2 linked regions of the Oreochromis niloticus genome follow. The protein of the gene in region 1 purifies or fractionates together with the protein of each later gene. This does not show direct contact. Links are inferred from orthologs where the notes say so. Each region holds a gene or a part of one and is shown in the gene's direction. Other genes may lie near its edges.

Evidence for each region.
Region 2: the proteins of ube4a (region 1) and ubxn4 purify together in Homo sapiens (affinity purification with mass spectrometry; 3 studies listed by BioGRID and IntAct, counting the BioPlex papers as one, with this or other methods). This does not show direct contact. The link is inferred for Oreochromis niloticus from reciprocal best matches to the Homo sapiens genes UBE4A and UBXN4.

What each region holds. Positions count from the first base shown.
Region 1 is NC_031979.2:20,134,230-20,141,455, forward strand, and holds the start of ube4a (ubiquitin conjugation factor E4 A), read left to right. Parts: upstream 1-3,951; 5' UTR 3,952-4,091; intron 4,092-4,225; exon of another isoform or gene 4,226-4,455; intron 4,456-6,523; 5' UTR 6,524-6,579; coding exon 6,580-6,709; intron 6,710-7,226. Other genes in the region: si:ch211-235m3.5 (BICD family-like cargo adapter 1), read left to right, coding at 477-716.
Region 2 is NC_031987.2:33,063,045-33,071,007, reverse strand, and holds the start of ubxn4 (UBX domain-containing protein 4), read left to right. Parts: upstream 1-4,849; 5' UTR 4,850-5,146; coding exon 5,147-5,231; intron 5,232-6,181; coding exon 6,182-6,284; intron 6,285-7,744; coding exon 7,745-7,773; intron 7,774-7,963. Other genes in the region: nmi (N-myc-interactor), read right to left, coding at 580-645, 742-780. UniProt on the Homo sapiens protein: Involved in endoplasmic reticulum-associated protein degradation (ERAD). Acts as a platform to recruit both UBQLN1 and VCP to the ER during ERAD.

The sequences.
Region 1 (7,226 bases):
TCCTCCTCTGTCACACCACCCCTCTGCATGTCATCCTTTACCACAGGGGTGGGGGAATTCTAGGCCTCAAGGGCCGGTGTCCTGCAGGTTTAGATGTATCTTTGATCCAACACAGCTGATTTAAATGGCTAAATTACCTCCTCAACATGTCTTGAAGTTCTGCAGAGGCCTAGTAATGAACTAATCATTTGATTCAGGTGTGATATCTAAAACCAGCAGGACACCGGCCCCTGCTTTACCACATCAATGAATCTTCTCTGAGGTCTTCCTCTTTTCCTCCTGCCTGGCAGCTCCATTTTTTTTTAAGAGTCAGTACTTTGTTGGTTTTCTCGTGAGACTTAATGATAACTAGTTTGCTTCTTTAATACTACGACTCTAGTACTAACATGTTATCTTTGACAATCACGGGATACCAGACTGAGTCCCGGCTCCTAGGACTTGCTGCTCATTTCCTCTTCCTCCCCACCTTTCCCCAGGATGACATCCAGATCTTCATCAACCAGCAGCTCAAGTCCCAGCAGCAGTTGGAGCAGCCTCAGAAGAAGCCCGCCTCCAACAACAGCATGTCATTCTTTCGCAGACCCAGCAGGACGGCCTCCACGTGGTCACGCCAGTCGTCGGCTTCCTCCTGGAATTCAGACTGCGATCAGGACAAAAACCAATCCCCGTGGAGGGACTGGTTAAGACGGGGCAAAGGGGTGCAGTACAGCAAATAGTGAACACTAAGTGCTAGAATGCTACTGGACTACTGTGGAGCAGATGCACCAAGAAAAAAGGTCAAAGGGAACTCACTAGTGGAGCTTCTTGTACATCATGTGAAGGAGAAAAAAAGCCATGAAGACAAACGGAGCCACTGGAAACAAAGACTGAAACACATTTCACTGAGAGGCTGAGCCTTCTCAAGACGTAGACTGTGACAACATTTTTACAGGATTACAATTGAAGGTTTAACTGTAAATATCGCGCCCTATTTTGAAAAATGGTGAATAAGTAGCTCAGTGAAAGTATTTGTTCATGTAATTTAAGATTTAACACATCAAAGAGAAGGATGTTCATGAAGTAAGTGATTAAACACTACATTTTTGATTGTACTAAATTTGTCCTTACCATGTTGGATATAAGAACTTATGTTTGTTTTTGTTTTTTTGTTGTTGTTTTTTTATTGTCAATGTTGCGTCAATGTACGTTTTCTTGTACATGAAGAAATCTATTATTTTTATAATTTTGTTCTAATAGTTCCAGTTAAAAAATCAAACATGTTGTCTGAACATTGATATGGTATGCATCTGTGGACAGCAGAAACTCTGTTTTATGTGAAGCACTGTTCAGTATTGAAGCTGCTTTGTACAAACTGACCACGTCTGGAAAGACTGACAGAAAGTTTCATAAAACATTAAATGATCCTCAGTCAGGTCTCATTTTTCACCACTGTTTGTCTTCAAAACTCCATGATGAGTGAAAAGTTATTTACTGAAGATATTCTGGCTTTAATATGGGAAAAGATGCAAGATTAAAGACAATACACAAATATGGAGATGGGGTAATCTGTTAGGAATGAAAAGAGGCTACATTGAAGGAAATGAAAATGATCAACCTACAGAGGGCTGAAGTCAAATGTAGCGACTTATAATGTGTCCAAGGATTTCATCCTGATGCCTAATGACAATCAGGGTACCGTTGCTTAGCCTGTAGAGGTCTGTGTCCCTCTCCATGGATATGCCTCCCCAGATAATCACTGACCCACCACCAAACCGGTCATGGTTTCTTCAGTTTTCATGTCTGTCACATGTGCTCAGGGTGAACCTGCTTTCATCTGTGAAAAGCACAGGACACTGGTGATGGACCTGCCAATTCTGGTATTCTATTGCAAATGCCAGTTGTTCTCCACAGTGCCAGGCAGTGAGCACAGGGCTCACTAGCAGGTGGGGGACCAGGTATCGCTTCATGCTACCAGTAGAGACAACAAATCTAGCCAGTAAAACCATTCCCGTGTTGGGGGTTGTCTCACTGTTGCCTCTCTAGTGCATCTATTGGTAATTTTGTTAACACCACAGCCGCTGAAACTGATTAACCACCCGCCACCCCCACGCTACTTCACTGATCAAATCAATATCCCAGAAGTTTAACTGACTTGATTAATACTCTGATGAAAGTGTTTAATTCTTTGAGCAGTGTGATAATCTGAAATGGGCTTCTAACAATAGGTCTGCTGCTGCCCTCTGCTGATGGCCAGCAAACACTCCAGGCTTTAGTAGAAGGCAGATCCAGTGTGTCAGATCCTGTCATAGCTGACAGGATCTGACACACTGGACAAACTGCAGCTGAAGTGCTAACAAATACGCTAATGTGGTTACAATTAATTCAGTCATGTTAAATAACTGCAAGTCATCCTTAAATCAGTCAGCTGAGGTTCTATCAGTTTCAGAGTTGCACATGTTCACTGACTATAACACTGCTACTCAGAAGTGCTGATTTATTAAAACTCTAAAAGCCATGTAGTTTTGTAAATGTGAAAACTTACAGGGTGTTCCTGGTGTCAAGAGATGGGTAAATTATCATCAGTGTTTGAGGTTCCTGAACTAAGAATAAAGCAAAACCAAACACGTGCAACAACAACTGCGTACTTCATTCAAAATTAATGGTAATAATGGTCTTATTAGTGTGGGTAGAAGACTTACACTAATACTGGATAATACTGTATAGGACATTGTGAGTCTCTGTCTGCTTTGCAAAAGACTTTAATTTAGGTTCGTGTTGGGTTTGTTTGGATAGCAGCTCTGTGGGAATTCATGGAAATTAACTTGTGCGTAAATATGTAAAATGAGCTCTGAGATCAGACGTCATAAACAAATCCAAGTAATTTAGTAGGAAAAAAGTGGGAGAGTCAGTTAAACCACAAAGACCACAACTTCTACAAATGAGAAAGACTCAGTTTGTAGTTTTGTTCAGGTTGCATCTCATTCTGTTCTGTTTACATCTTTTTGCAGTCATTCTGCATCTTGTGACTGTTTGTGTGTTTATATTGCATGTCTGTTGCTGTGTTGAACCTCACTTGCAATGATTTTATATATTTTGTTGTGCATTTTGCCTGTTTAATTGGTTCCTCTTGTCCCCTGTTTCCTCTCTTTTTTGTAGAAGTGTCTTTCTGCTGCAGGGGTTTTGCCAACCATAAATCACAACTTCAGTTTATAATCTCAACATTTTGAAATACTTGACTTTCAGTGTTGAGCACAATGATTGGTTCACACAACAAATCCCACCTTTCAGCTTTTCATGTATTTTCAATATTTTTTTCATTTCCCCCCCAAAAAATAATTAATTTAACTTAGAGGACAGAAACAAAGTATTGATCTTATCACACTAATATCAAACCAATACCAATACCGGCTCTGAAAAGATATCAGAAAGATTTACTATAGATTTTATAAACTGTCAAAACGTGTAGAAGAAAGAATGTAAAGTTTAGAAATAAATAGACTGAAAACAGGTGTTTACCACCAGCAGAGTGCTGAAAAAACGTCAAAACATCAAAAAATTTTAACTTACTAACCCAAATGTCTGAGAAAATAAGTTGGAATTGAGAAAATAACTTGAAATTCCAATTTTAAGGCCATTTTTTTAAGATAATGACTCAATTTTTTTAACTTATAGATGGCAAAAAATAAAATAAAATATTATTTTTCTCTGTGGTCTTTCTCTTTTCCTCCTGCCTGGGAGTTCCATATTCAAAATCCTTTGTCCAGTACCACTCGCAGTCTCTTCTTCACCTCTCTTGTGCACCCACCGCTGATTTGTATGATTGAGCCCAGATATTGAAACTAATACACATTCACAATGTGTAATCCTTGCGTCTTCGCATTTCCACCTCCCCTCTCATTAACACACACATTTATGAGATCGAATAAGTGAGTTAAGAAATTCCCCAACGCAATAATCACTCCTGACCGAACGGTGGCGCCGACGGACTGATACAGCTCGCAGCAGCCGTTTTAGGAAAAAGAAGAAAACGTTTACTATTTACTGAGGAACTGGCATTGGTTTCGTAGAAGCAATTTTAAAAATCAAAATACACATTACTTCTCGTCAAACAGGTACGACAGCCGTCTTTATCGTTTGTATATATTATTTAGGTTGATAATACCTGAAACCCTCATTTGAGTTTATGAAATTAAAGTTGAAATCGAGCCTTGGTGACCCCATGACAGCTCAGCTTAGCAGCAGCAGCACCAGCAGGGCGGTCAGGGCTGCTAGCTCCACCTGCTAGCTAGTTAGCACAAAACCGTCAAGCAGCTCATCTTCTGCGCACTAACACGGCTAACAGGTGATGTGACTCTCTCAGAACAGCGTAAAGGTGACTAGCTGCGAAGCTGTCTTCGTAAAGTGGCGAGAGTTAAAGCTGTAAGGTGCTGAACTGATAAACCTGACTACGCACAGTAACTGTAATCTGCGGAAGAGGTGAGCTCTACCTAGACAGGCGGTCAGTCCATATGTTACTGTTACTGTTACTGAGTTACTGTTTGTCGTGCTAAAAACTTTCTAGCATCATCAGAAAGTAGGGCTCAGCAGACAACGACCTTTTTGTCCCAGGTTATCATCTCACGATGTCTAATGCACGTGGAGATACACTCTATTTTATAGTAATAACAACAAGTGCCCATTTAGACAGCTTATCATCTTCTCTAAACCTCGTTGATCCGTATTGTGTTACTTTTATAGAGAAAAAATAGTGACTACAGATTATTTAAAGACATTTAAAATGCAATTTGAGGGTGCAAAACTTTAATATTCCAAAAATAGAGTTACAATAAAAGTGAACTCCTTCTATATGGTATCTGTCTGATAGCACTGCAGTATTGAAACAGCATGCAGGAGTTAATGTGTTGAAAGCATTTGCATATAAGTACTTGTTTTAGGGTTCTTGTGTGTGTCGATGAGAACTTGCAAAATGCAGTGTTATTGTAGACTAAAATTCATCTGAATTAGTACAGATCTATTCAGTTTAAATAGGGGGTGGGCGATATGCCCTTAAAAATTATGTTATGATATTTCAAGAACATTTGCTACTTCTTCTTCTTGAGGTTGCTCCCTGTAGGGGGAAACCACAGGGGATCATCTATCTCCATCTCACCCTATTCCTTGCATCCTCCTCTTCCTCTGTTACAGTAGCCATCTGCAGGTCCTTCATTGCATGCATGAAACTCTTTTGTGGTGTTCCTCTTTTCCTCCTTGCTTGGCAGCTCTATGTGCAACACCTTTTATCCGATATATCCACTATCCGTCCTCTGCATATGTCCAAACCACCTCAGCCCTGTCACTCGAAAAGTGTCTCCAAGCCACTCAGTTTGAGATGCTGAGTATTTCAAGACAGTTTGCAGTAATGATATTTATGATGAAAAAACAACATACTAAATGTTTTATTGATGCTTGCAGTCAGGTGTATTTATAACTATAAGTAAATAAGGGCATTCTTTGCCCTTGTTTTGCATTGAGTTCCTGTCACTGATGATGTACTACCTAATTCAAAGTGTGAATCCACTGAAACAAGGTGCCATGATTATGTTTGGGTTTCACATCACCAGCTGCTTGAATCTCTTCCTTTATAGTCTGGTAGTACTTCACTGTGTTTTTCCCTCAAGTGGTGAAACAAGTTTGTTGTTTCCACCTTAAGCAGGAACAGTCTTCTTGAATATTTGGCTTTGTTGGAGCTCCAGTTTTACTAAATTGTCACTGGAGTCTTACATGCAGCTCTCATATACAGTATGCCTCGACTTGTCTCATTGTTGTGTGTGTCAAGGAGCTTAAAGCCATAGCATTGCTGTAGGAATAATATCATTATATTACACGTTTATATTAAGTAAAAAATTAAAAAAACATGTCCTTGGTGGTCACTAGCAGTTTTTCTATGTAGGAAATTATTGCTGTTTAAATGTAATACACTGAAATATTTACTACTTATAGTATTTAATAACTCTATTACCTTGTAAAGATGAAAAGAAAGTTATGATGGCCATTCAGCTGTGAAACTAAATACACTAAAACCAAAAATGTTACGGAAGCCCTGAATAGTAAGGTGTTATTTTAAGCCAGTGTTTGCAATTTAACAACTTAAGATTAAAAGGAATGTTAATTGTGTCATTTTCAGAATATATTTGTAGGGAGAGATGAGGGAGGTGCAGTGTATTACAAAGGTGCAAAAAGTGCATTTAACTTAGCCTCCAGACAGTCACGTGACAAATTAAAACAGAGCTACTGGTTCCCTTATGGCTCTGCCTTCTTTAATAGTACTTGAGGTTGTGCAACTGTACCCTGAAGGCAACAACGTGCTGACAGTAAAACATGTTGAACTTGAGTGTGCTGGACAGATGAGTTTGGTAAAGTGGCCAACATCATGAAGATCTGCATATTAAATCAAAATAACAGTGACCAAACTAAACAAAAATACACTTGTTTGTGTGTGATGATGATACTGTTCATTTAAGTGTGTTGAAATTGCCATCTGCTCTTTTTTTTGTTTTTTTTAAAGATATTCAGTCCCTAGAGCTGGGATCTTGGATGGAGTGAGTGTTGAGCCCCAATGAGATGACTGACCAGGGCAACAACAACCAGAACATCTCCCGCAACCCCTTTGCTGCCCTCTTCAGCTCACTGGCTGATGCCAAACAGTTTGCATCAGGCCAGAAACCTCAACAGCTTTCTACTCAACCACCACGTGAGTAGAATGATCACATTTCATACAGTATAAGAAGGAGTCAGAACATATCTGAAGTAGACTGATTTGTGTTGCGTGTTACTTTGGACACAATCCCAACTTCTCCTAACGTTGTCTGGAATTAAAGTGTGTAGGCGTTGAGGTAGATAATCATAGGTCACGTCCTTTTATAGAATCCAGCTTGTCTGAGTGTGCTGATATGTAAAAGTTGATTATACTCTGTTGTGTGGACAGCTGCAGACACTGCTGATGACTAGCTATTCCTGGTATACGTTAATAAGTTCAGCTTGAAGTCCGCCCAAGGGGCACAGGTGTAGTTAATGCACATTGTAATAGAAAGTCTTTACAGATGAGTCCACACTATCACAAAAAAATTCAAGAATGCATCTTTCTGCTTACTGCCCGATGACAACATTTCTATCAGTAGACCCAAATGAACCTTAGCAACTGCATGCCTGCATCTGTGCATTTTCTGTAAATCACGCAATCTATAACTCGCCCCCTGATTTTTAGCCAT
Region 2 (7,963 bases), on another chromosome or scaffold:
GGCCTACACCCTATGGAATGCTGCCTGGGCCCATTCCATCTGACTTTCAGTTGCTGAAGCGAGCTGCTTTACGGTTTCTCCCTGTTTACTGCAAACCTCAGCTGCAAACTGCATGTTCTGTGCAGCCAAATATAAGTAACCATTTAAAGTTTAATCTCAAATGTGTAAATAAAATGTATCCCGTGATGTCTCAATGCTAATAAATTATATCAATGAATATTATGACATTTATTATAATATGGGCATTTAGATAGACTCTTTCAGGCTTTTCAGTCCAGTGCGTTTATTTGTAGAACATACTTAGTTCCGGGCTTGCCTTTACGATGCAGGATTGCATCTCGACTTAAATAAGAGATCTGAGAACTGTAATTACTGTTTAAATCACTCAGATCACTCACAGTACTGAGTAAACAAACCACCTTCTTCTATAAACGGAGAATGAAGACACTTCCGGCTGAGCAGTTGTCGTTTTCCCATAAATGTATTTTGACGATTGGATCGTGAACTTATTTTACTATTGAACTAAAACACTTCACGCCTGAAAATGGAAAATGTAGTTCAGCATTAGTTCCGGCCTACCTTCCATGCCTCCAACTCTCGCTTGGCCTCCTTCAGTTCACCGTCTTTATCCAGGCCTCCTTCCTTCTGCCAAGAAAGAATGGCATCGTTAACAACTGTGGACCACTTGTTTCTTCTTAGACGGACTAAAACAAACAAACAGACGAACACATTATTACTCACCTTATCATTTAGCGAGCGACTACCGAAGACCTCAGCCATGGTCTGAATGACAAAAAAGAAACAGATATGAAAACTTCACTTGGTAGCTACGATCCAAAAATCAGCCAGCTGTGACTGCACTGCCTCTTTTTTGAGTACTTATTATTTTCTGTCGAAGTTAGAAAAGAAACAAAGTGGCCCTGTTGTGCCGGAAACAGCTCCAAATCAAAAGTGAAAGTTACAGCCTGGTGTGACGAGCTTCCCGGTATGGAAGACCAAGTGTGACAAAAGTTCACAGTCAAAGAAATAAATTAATAAAAACATCTCGTGTGTGTGTTGGAAGCTACTGATTCTTTAGATAAAGGAAAAAACACGCAATTTTCTGGCTAAAAATATGCATGAAATTCTTAACCCATTTAATTACAAAAACAAACAAACAAAAATATTTTTAAAACAAAAAACGATTTTACATTTTTTTTGTATGTGTATTTTATTTTAAATAGTACAATATGTTACCAGCACCTAAAAAATCCATAGACGGGGGGAACGTGGAATGAAACACAAGAAGCGAAACATGGGAAGAGAAAAGAGAAACAAGACACAAGGACACACACGCACACATAAACACAAACACACAGGGAGGGACACAGAGGTCAAACACTATGGTGTTATTTTTGTCTCACTATTCTGAGAGCACGTAAAAAAAAAAGTACAAGTGTTGCATTTTGAGGAGAAATTTATTCCTCTCGCTCAGGTTTTGCATTTGCTCTTGCTCAGATCTCTGCGGACCTGCTCTCAATGTGTTGCTCGCGCTTTCAACATCTCTGCCCCTGCACGTTCAACTCTTTCTGTACAGCATTATATTTGTGCCACAAAACCAAAAAATCACAGATTTGGATGCAAAAATTCTGATTGGCTGCTTTAGTTTCTCCATTCAGCTCGCTAGCTACTGTAACCAAACCCAGGCAAATATCCCAGTATGCATTTCGTCCAAAACTCAAACAAGGCATTTGCAGAGGAACGCAGAGCGGCGGAGTTTGAAATATTACTCTTTCTGGATCACAAAATAAACTTTTAAGATATTTTCAGGCTACAAAGCAGGCAATATAAGAATAAGAAACTCAGAACAGACTAAACTTAAGACTACTAATGAACCTAAAACATAAACATAATACAAATTAACACCAAAACACAAGAAACTCAAAATGCTGGGTCAACATGACCCAGAACTCTCAGGTGACTACATAATGAAGAGAAGGCCAAGGGTTTGCAGCACTCAACAAAGCAAAGGGTGGCTACTCTCAGGAATCTCAAATATAAGACATAGTTAGAGTTATTTATCAATTTTTTGATAAATAACAACAAAATTATATTTGTATCACTGGCTGTTATGGGGAGACCCTGGAAACTGTTCAGAGAGTCTTTCCTTTATTCTGCTCGTGCTTCACACGTGTGCTGCTTCTGCAGCTCCGGGCTGCACTTTACAGCACAGTCTCTTCTGGTAAAGCTCACGTCTGCTTCTCCGCTGCCACAAGGGAGGAACAATGTTGAAGTTCTTTTCAGAAGTAATCGATGTTACAGAAGTAACAACAAATAAGAAGACGTCAATAAGCTCATCTATTTCTGCTCAGAGTGGCACAGTCTAAAGAAGTCAGTTTCCTGGATGGTGATGTGTAAGCAGCACATATTGGAAGTTACTGTGAAAGCAATGGAAGGAAAACTGAAAAGGTAGCAAGTCAAATGCAGCAGTTCAGTTCAGCTTTAGTGGTGTCTTTACACACTACAGGTGATTAAGTCATGGTCAAAGTCAAAGACAGCTCAGTTCATTTCATGGAAATCCCAGTATTACTATCATAATCAGTGGAGCTTGCCTCAAAACCCTCATTATAAAGACTGAGTGAAAAGGTTTAGGACAGAGTTTTGGCACTGTGCCCACAACTTTGAGACATCTACACAAAGTGCTGACTACACCCTTTCTCTTATTACACTTATTATTACAGGTTGTGTACCTGCTGCTTTAGGCAGTGCCAGTTTCTCATGAACCAGTTTCATCTGTAAATACTGAGTTAATGTTTTTAATACTACCGCTTGGATTTATTACAGGTGCATGTGTAAAAGAAGCAATACCCCACCTGCTGTGGATTGTGAAGACCAATTTAGACCATTCAATGACTCAAACACTGGAATCAAAAGTGTAATTAAATAAATATTAGATTGACGAATAATCATCTTATTCAACAATTACTGTCATACAGATGAGAGAAAGCAAGAAAAACAGAGACTTGTGGGTGAGCTCCATTAACTCATATCAGCAGAGAGAGAGAGCGGCACTCTGTGCTGTACATTAATTATAATAGCTTAATAAAACTCGCCTCTGCTTTCAAGGACAAAATAAAACAGGAGGAGTCTGTTCTCTGCTTTCAACAGAAAGTGTTATTTGCAGCATTAGTGACTTCATCATCACAATAACCTGTTACTCACATACTGTGTCACCATAAGTAAAATATTTATTCTGTAAAAATAAAATCTAGAAAAAACCCACAGATGACATGACAGATTTTTCTTTTCCCTTTTTTATTCACTTCAAATATCTCATAAACAACAGGAGGCCGCAGGTTCACTATAACCAAAACTTCTGATTCAAACATCACATCAGTGTTACAAGATACAGCAATAGAAATTTAAGGAAAGTTTCTTCATGGTTCAGAGGTTGCACAGCAGAGTTGAAAGATGGTGTGTGAAATGGACTCTTACGATTGGTCAGAATTAGCCAATGAAAATGTGAGAAATGTGAACTTTTTACAAAGAAGGAAAACACATTTCATTTAAATGAATATTTTTTAAATTAATTAAAAATAAAAGCGAATGTTATGCCATCTTCTAACTTTACTTGACAGTGTGTAGAACAAACCTGATAACTCCTAGAAAACTTAAAAATCAACCAAACACATCCAGTCTTTGAGGGCTGTGAGCAAAAACAACACCAGCTGGAAGCCTGTGTGGTTATTACAGTAACCACAGCAGTCTGCTCTCTGTATGTATTACTTTATAAACTGACTTACTGTAAGCAACACAAATGTTAACAGAGAGAGAATTTTGTTGAAGCACACTGTTTATTAGGATCATCACCTGCTGTCTTTAACAGTCTCAGTATTGTTCTTTCTTTGTTTGTGTGGGAGTTTCTCCAAAACATGTGCTCATCGCCATTACTGACAGTCTGGTATTGTAAGTAGTTCTGCTTGGAATTGTGCAGGGCTTGTCTGCATCAGTGTTTCACAGAACAGTATTATCAATATATGGCGATAGTCAAATTGGCCAGCAGATGTCACTGTGGACATGTGTTTCCGACTGTTTCGAAGCCTCGACCGGCTGTAACGCTTCGAACATTACGCTTTGTTTTGTTTTCATTTTTTTTTTTAAAGAACTTTATTGAACAAACAATGAGTATACAACATATAAACAGATGAGGTATACAAGAGAAAAGAACACGAACACACAAAACCAGGGGAAAAAAATAACTATATAAATACACGCAAAAATTCACATATATGAATTGTTTTAAGAGCCTTTTTGTTGGTGGAGTCTGATATTGAGTTTATGTACAATTCTACATCCTTAAGAAAGTGACAGAAATATGGTGTTTTATTATTAAACGTAGATTTATGGATAAAACAATTAGCTAAATGTATTAAGAAATTTATTATATAAAAAACATTTATCATTCTTCTCGGGGAACTTAAAGAAACAGAATAAAACATTTTCCAATCGTAAAGAAAACCCCCTCAAAATATGGACAATAACAAACCAGCTAAATTCCTTCCGGAAGCTCTGTGTAGAAGAACAGTACCAAAAAAGGTGTGTCACAGTTTCTGGATGATCCCCACAGAAAGTGAAATTAGTATTTATGTCTCTTTTAAATACGTTACGTTGTTTCACGAAGCCGTGCTTTGCCCATCACTATGGCAGTTACTTCGGTGGGTGGGCCTGGACCTCCCATAAGCCCGTTTTTTATTAAATAAACACTCTTTGCTACAGTTCATAACCACTCCATTACTCCCCATTATTCTTTAGAATGTAACTGTGTTGATTTGACACATGGATGCAATGAACAAGAGGAGAGGTGATTACAGATTTGCAAAGTTTAGGGTCAGGGAAGAACAGGAGGAGACTCTTTTCGACAATAATTTATTAGCATAAAGTCCGGATAGCAATGATACGATTGTGATTAATTAGTGAAACTGGAGGAGGCAGTAATGCAACACTTGGGGCGCTAAACAGGGGAGAAGAAGAAGAGAAGCTGACGCTGCAGCCAGCTGATATGCGCTGGGAGCGGAAGTAGAAAGTGACAGGCTGACTGGGCTTTAGGTTTGGTTAGCCTAGCTGCTCGTCTGTGTCTCCAAAGCAGAAACACAGAACTCAACTTGCAATGATGTTTTGGTTTCAGGGCTCAATTCCTGATGCCATTAAATCGGCTAAACAACGGAGTTTGGTCTTTGTCGTTGTCATCACAGGTAACAGTTGAAAACATGCGGAAACTCTATAGAGTGCTAGCCAGTTAGCGTTGGAAGCCATTGTAGCCATTAGCTAATTAGCATAGTCAGTGTGTTATGAAAGAAGTCGTCATATGTATTTGATGAATACCCACCGACAGCAAGAATACAGAAGTCTAGTAACGTATCTATGGTGTACAGGGTCTGTCGGCGTAACGTCCTGTGCAACAGCACCTGCTGTCCTCACAGCTGAACCGGGCTGACGTAACGCTAGCGTTAGTTGTTTGCATTCCGCAGGCCAGTCCGAGGATTTCATAAATGAGGGACAGTCCGTCCACCTGCAGAACAGTAGCTGAGTACACTTACTTGGCCAGCCTCAGCGCTACATCACAGTATGACAGGGCGCTGTGGAGCAAAAGGAGCTCCACATAGTCAGCATGGTTCACGATATGCCGCATATATCTCTGTGTTTTGTAATTAATCAGAAAGCGAGATGCAAAAAGAAACATTTATGGAAAGGATTAGGATCGTATGTAAAATAAATAACGAATTATAAAGAACTAGACTCATGGCATGGTCTCCTTTAAATAGCTCTCTACAATAAGTCTCAGCATCACACTGGACCAGATATAGACAGTGTTAGTAGTATACAACAGTGTATGGATTTTGATCTGAACAGATGTTGTTGAGCATGAAGCTGACACAAAGTGACAAACAGCTTCTGTTTTCTGTGGAGTCAAAATCTCTGGTTTTGTGCCTCCAACCTGGCACAGTTGTTTCTGTAATACATCAATGCATCACAGAAACACTGAGAACAGAGGAGAGAAAAGTGGTTCCCAGATTACGCAGAGGGACGTTACTGTAAGAGTTGGAAAAGATGAGATCTGCGCTTCTTTTGCAGTTCCATCAGTGAAGCTGGACCCGTAGTTTTGACCACATGTCTCATCAGTTTCCTGTCACTCTGTCCTTAGGAGAAGATGAACAGTCAGCACAGCTGATGTCCAGCTGGGAGGATGACAGGGTCTCAGAGGCGGCCCAGAAATGTTGCGTGGCCATCAAAGTGGAGGCCAAGAGGTAAAGATGTGTTAGGTAGAGTGATTTTAGTTGAAAGTAAACTGTTAAAGGATGAACCAAGATTTAAAGTTACCTGCATGGAATTAACTGTACATAAAATCAACAATAGATTGAGGTGTACTAGCAAAACCTGCTGTGGCGACTTTAAAATCACATGACATGGTGCTTCATGGATGTTTGTAGATATGATTTGTTACACATCATTTAGTTCCAGCTTCTCCATATTGAATCAGTTGTACAGGTCTGTCTCTTACTATAATGACCATGACGTAAGTCTGTGTGTACCCTGCCTCCTACTCATCGTGTCGGCCATTCGGAATTAAACTTTGCAGAAACATTGTGATACATACAGCGATTATGAATGTTGATTGACGTAGCATGATTTATTGAAATAGAAAAGTTAATGTATTTGGCGATTAGACCCCGTTGATCCATCATAGCAGAACAGAATCCCAGCAGTGATGGGATTTGGGACAGGACCCCCTGGAGTCTAGACTCTGGTGGTGGTGAAGATGAAGACTGAGGCTTGGGTGGAGCTATGGCTGAGGTGGAGATAGGGAGGAGGTTGGTTGCATGGACGAGTCTGTTTAAGCCATGCAAAGCAGAGGCTAATTGGCTCAAAGAAGATGGACAGGATGATTTGACTAGAGTAATGACACAAGTACTGAGCTTGACAGTGTGGGGAAAGTGGAAGAACAGAAAAGCAGGCAGGTGACTGACCTTATTGAAGTTGTGGATAAACTTCATCTTTTTAAAAAGATGTGTTATAAAGTCTTCTGTTACCTGTTCGTAACTTACCAGTCACCAAAAATTGTATGTGCCGTGGAATTTTGTGTGAGTCACCACTAAATGAAGAATGAAGAGTTTGGAAAAGTGTTGATCATTGTGGGTTTTTGACATTCATGTAAAGAGGATCACTTTTCACACCTTTTCCTCCCTGTGTCACCAAGCCTGTACATCCGACTTTTAATGGCTGCTTATTTAATTCAGTTACTTTACTACCTTAATGTATATACTCTAGATGTATATGAGAAGAGCAGCAGTTAGCATTTCCTCCACTATTTTTAAAATGCTATGCCTCTCTTTAGATTTACTTCTGCTTGTATTACCATTAGAGCGAGACAAGTTATCTGTTGTCAACAAAGTTTGTAAAGAATTTGCCAGATTGAATTATCTAACAGTTTATCTGCATACACACAGTTTTTATTTTGACCTTTTTACCCCTCAGCCGTCAAAGGTGATTGGGTTGATTGATTGGGCATCGTCGTTACCTTGCTTTTCTCTTAGAATCAGCTCCCAGGTTTTGCAAACTGCTGCTGCTACTGTAAAGATCAGCCCTAAACCTTCCTCGATCACGCTGTCAGTCTAACAAGCATTTGATGTAATACCTCTAAACAGAGATGTTAATGTGCTTGCAGTTAAACCACAAAATGTTTCAATGATTTCTTCTTTCCCCACAGTGACACGTGTGCACAGTTCTCCCAGATTTGTATCCTTCTGTTGTGCGAGGTTTGAGCTGATGCCGCAGTGCTTACTAAACTTATTACTGACTTGTCTTTGGGAACTGGGTGTCTTGGCGGAGCCTCACAGCTTGAAGGTTCTGACTTCGAATCTGATTTTAGAGCTTTCTGTGAGCACGTTTTGCTTGTGTGGCTTTTCTGCAGGCTGCTGTGGCTTCC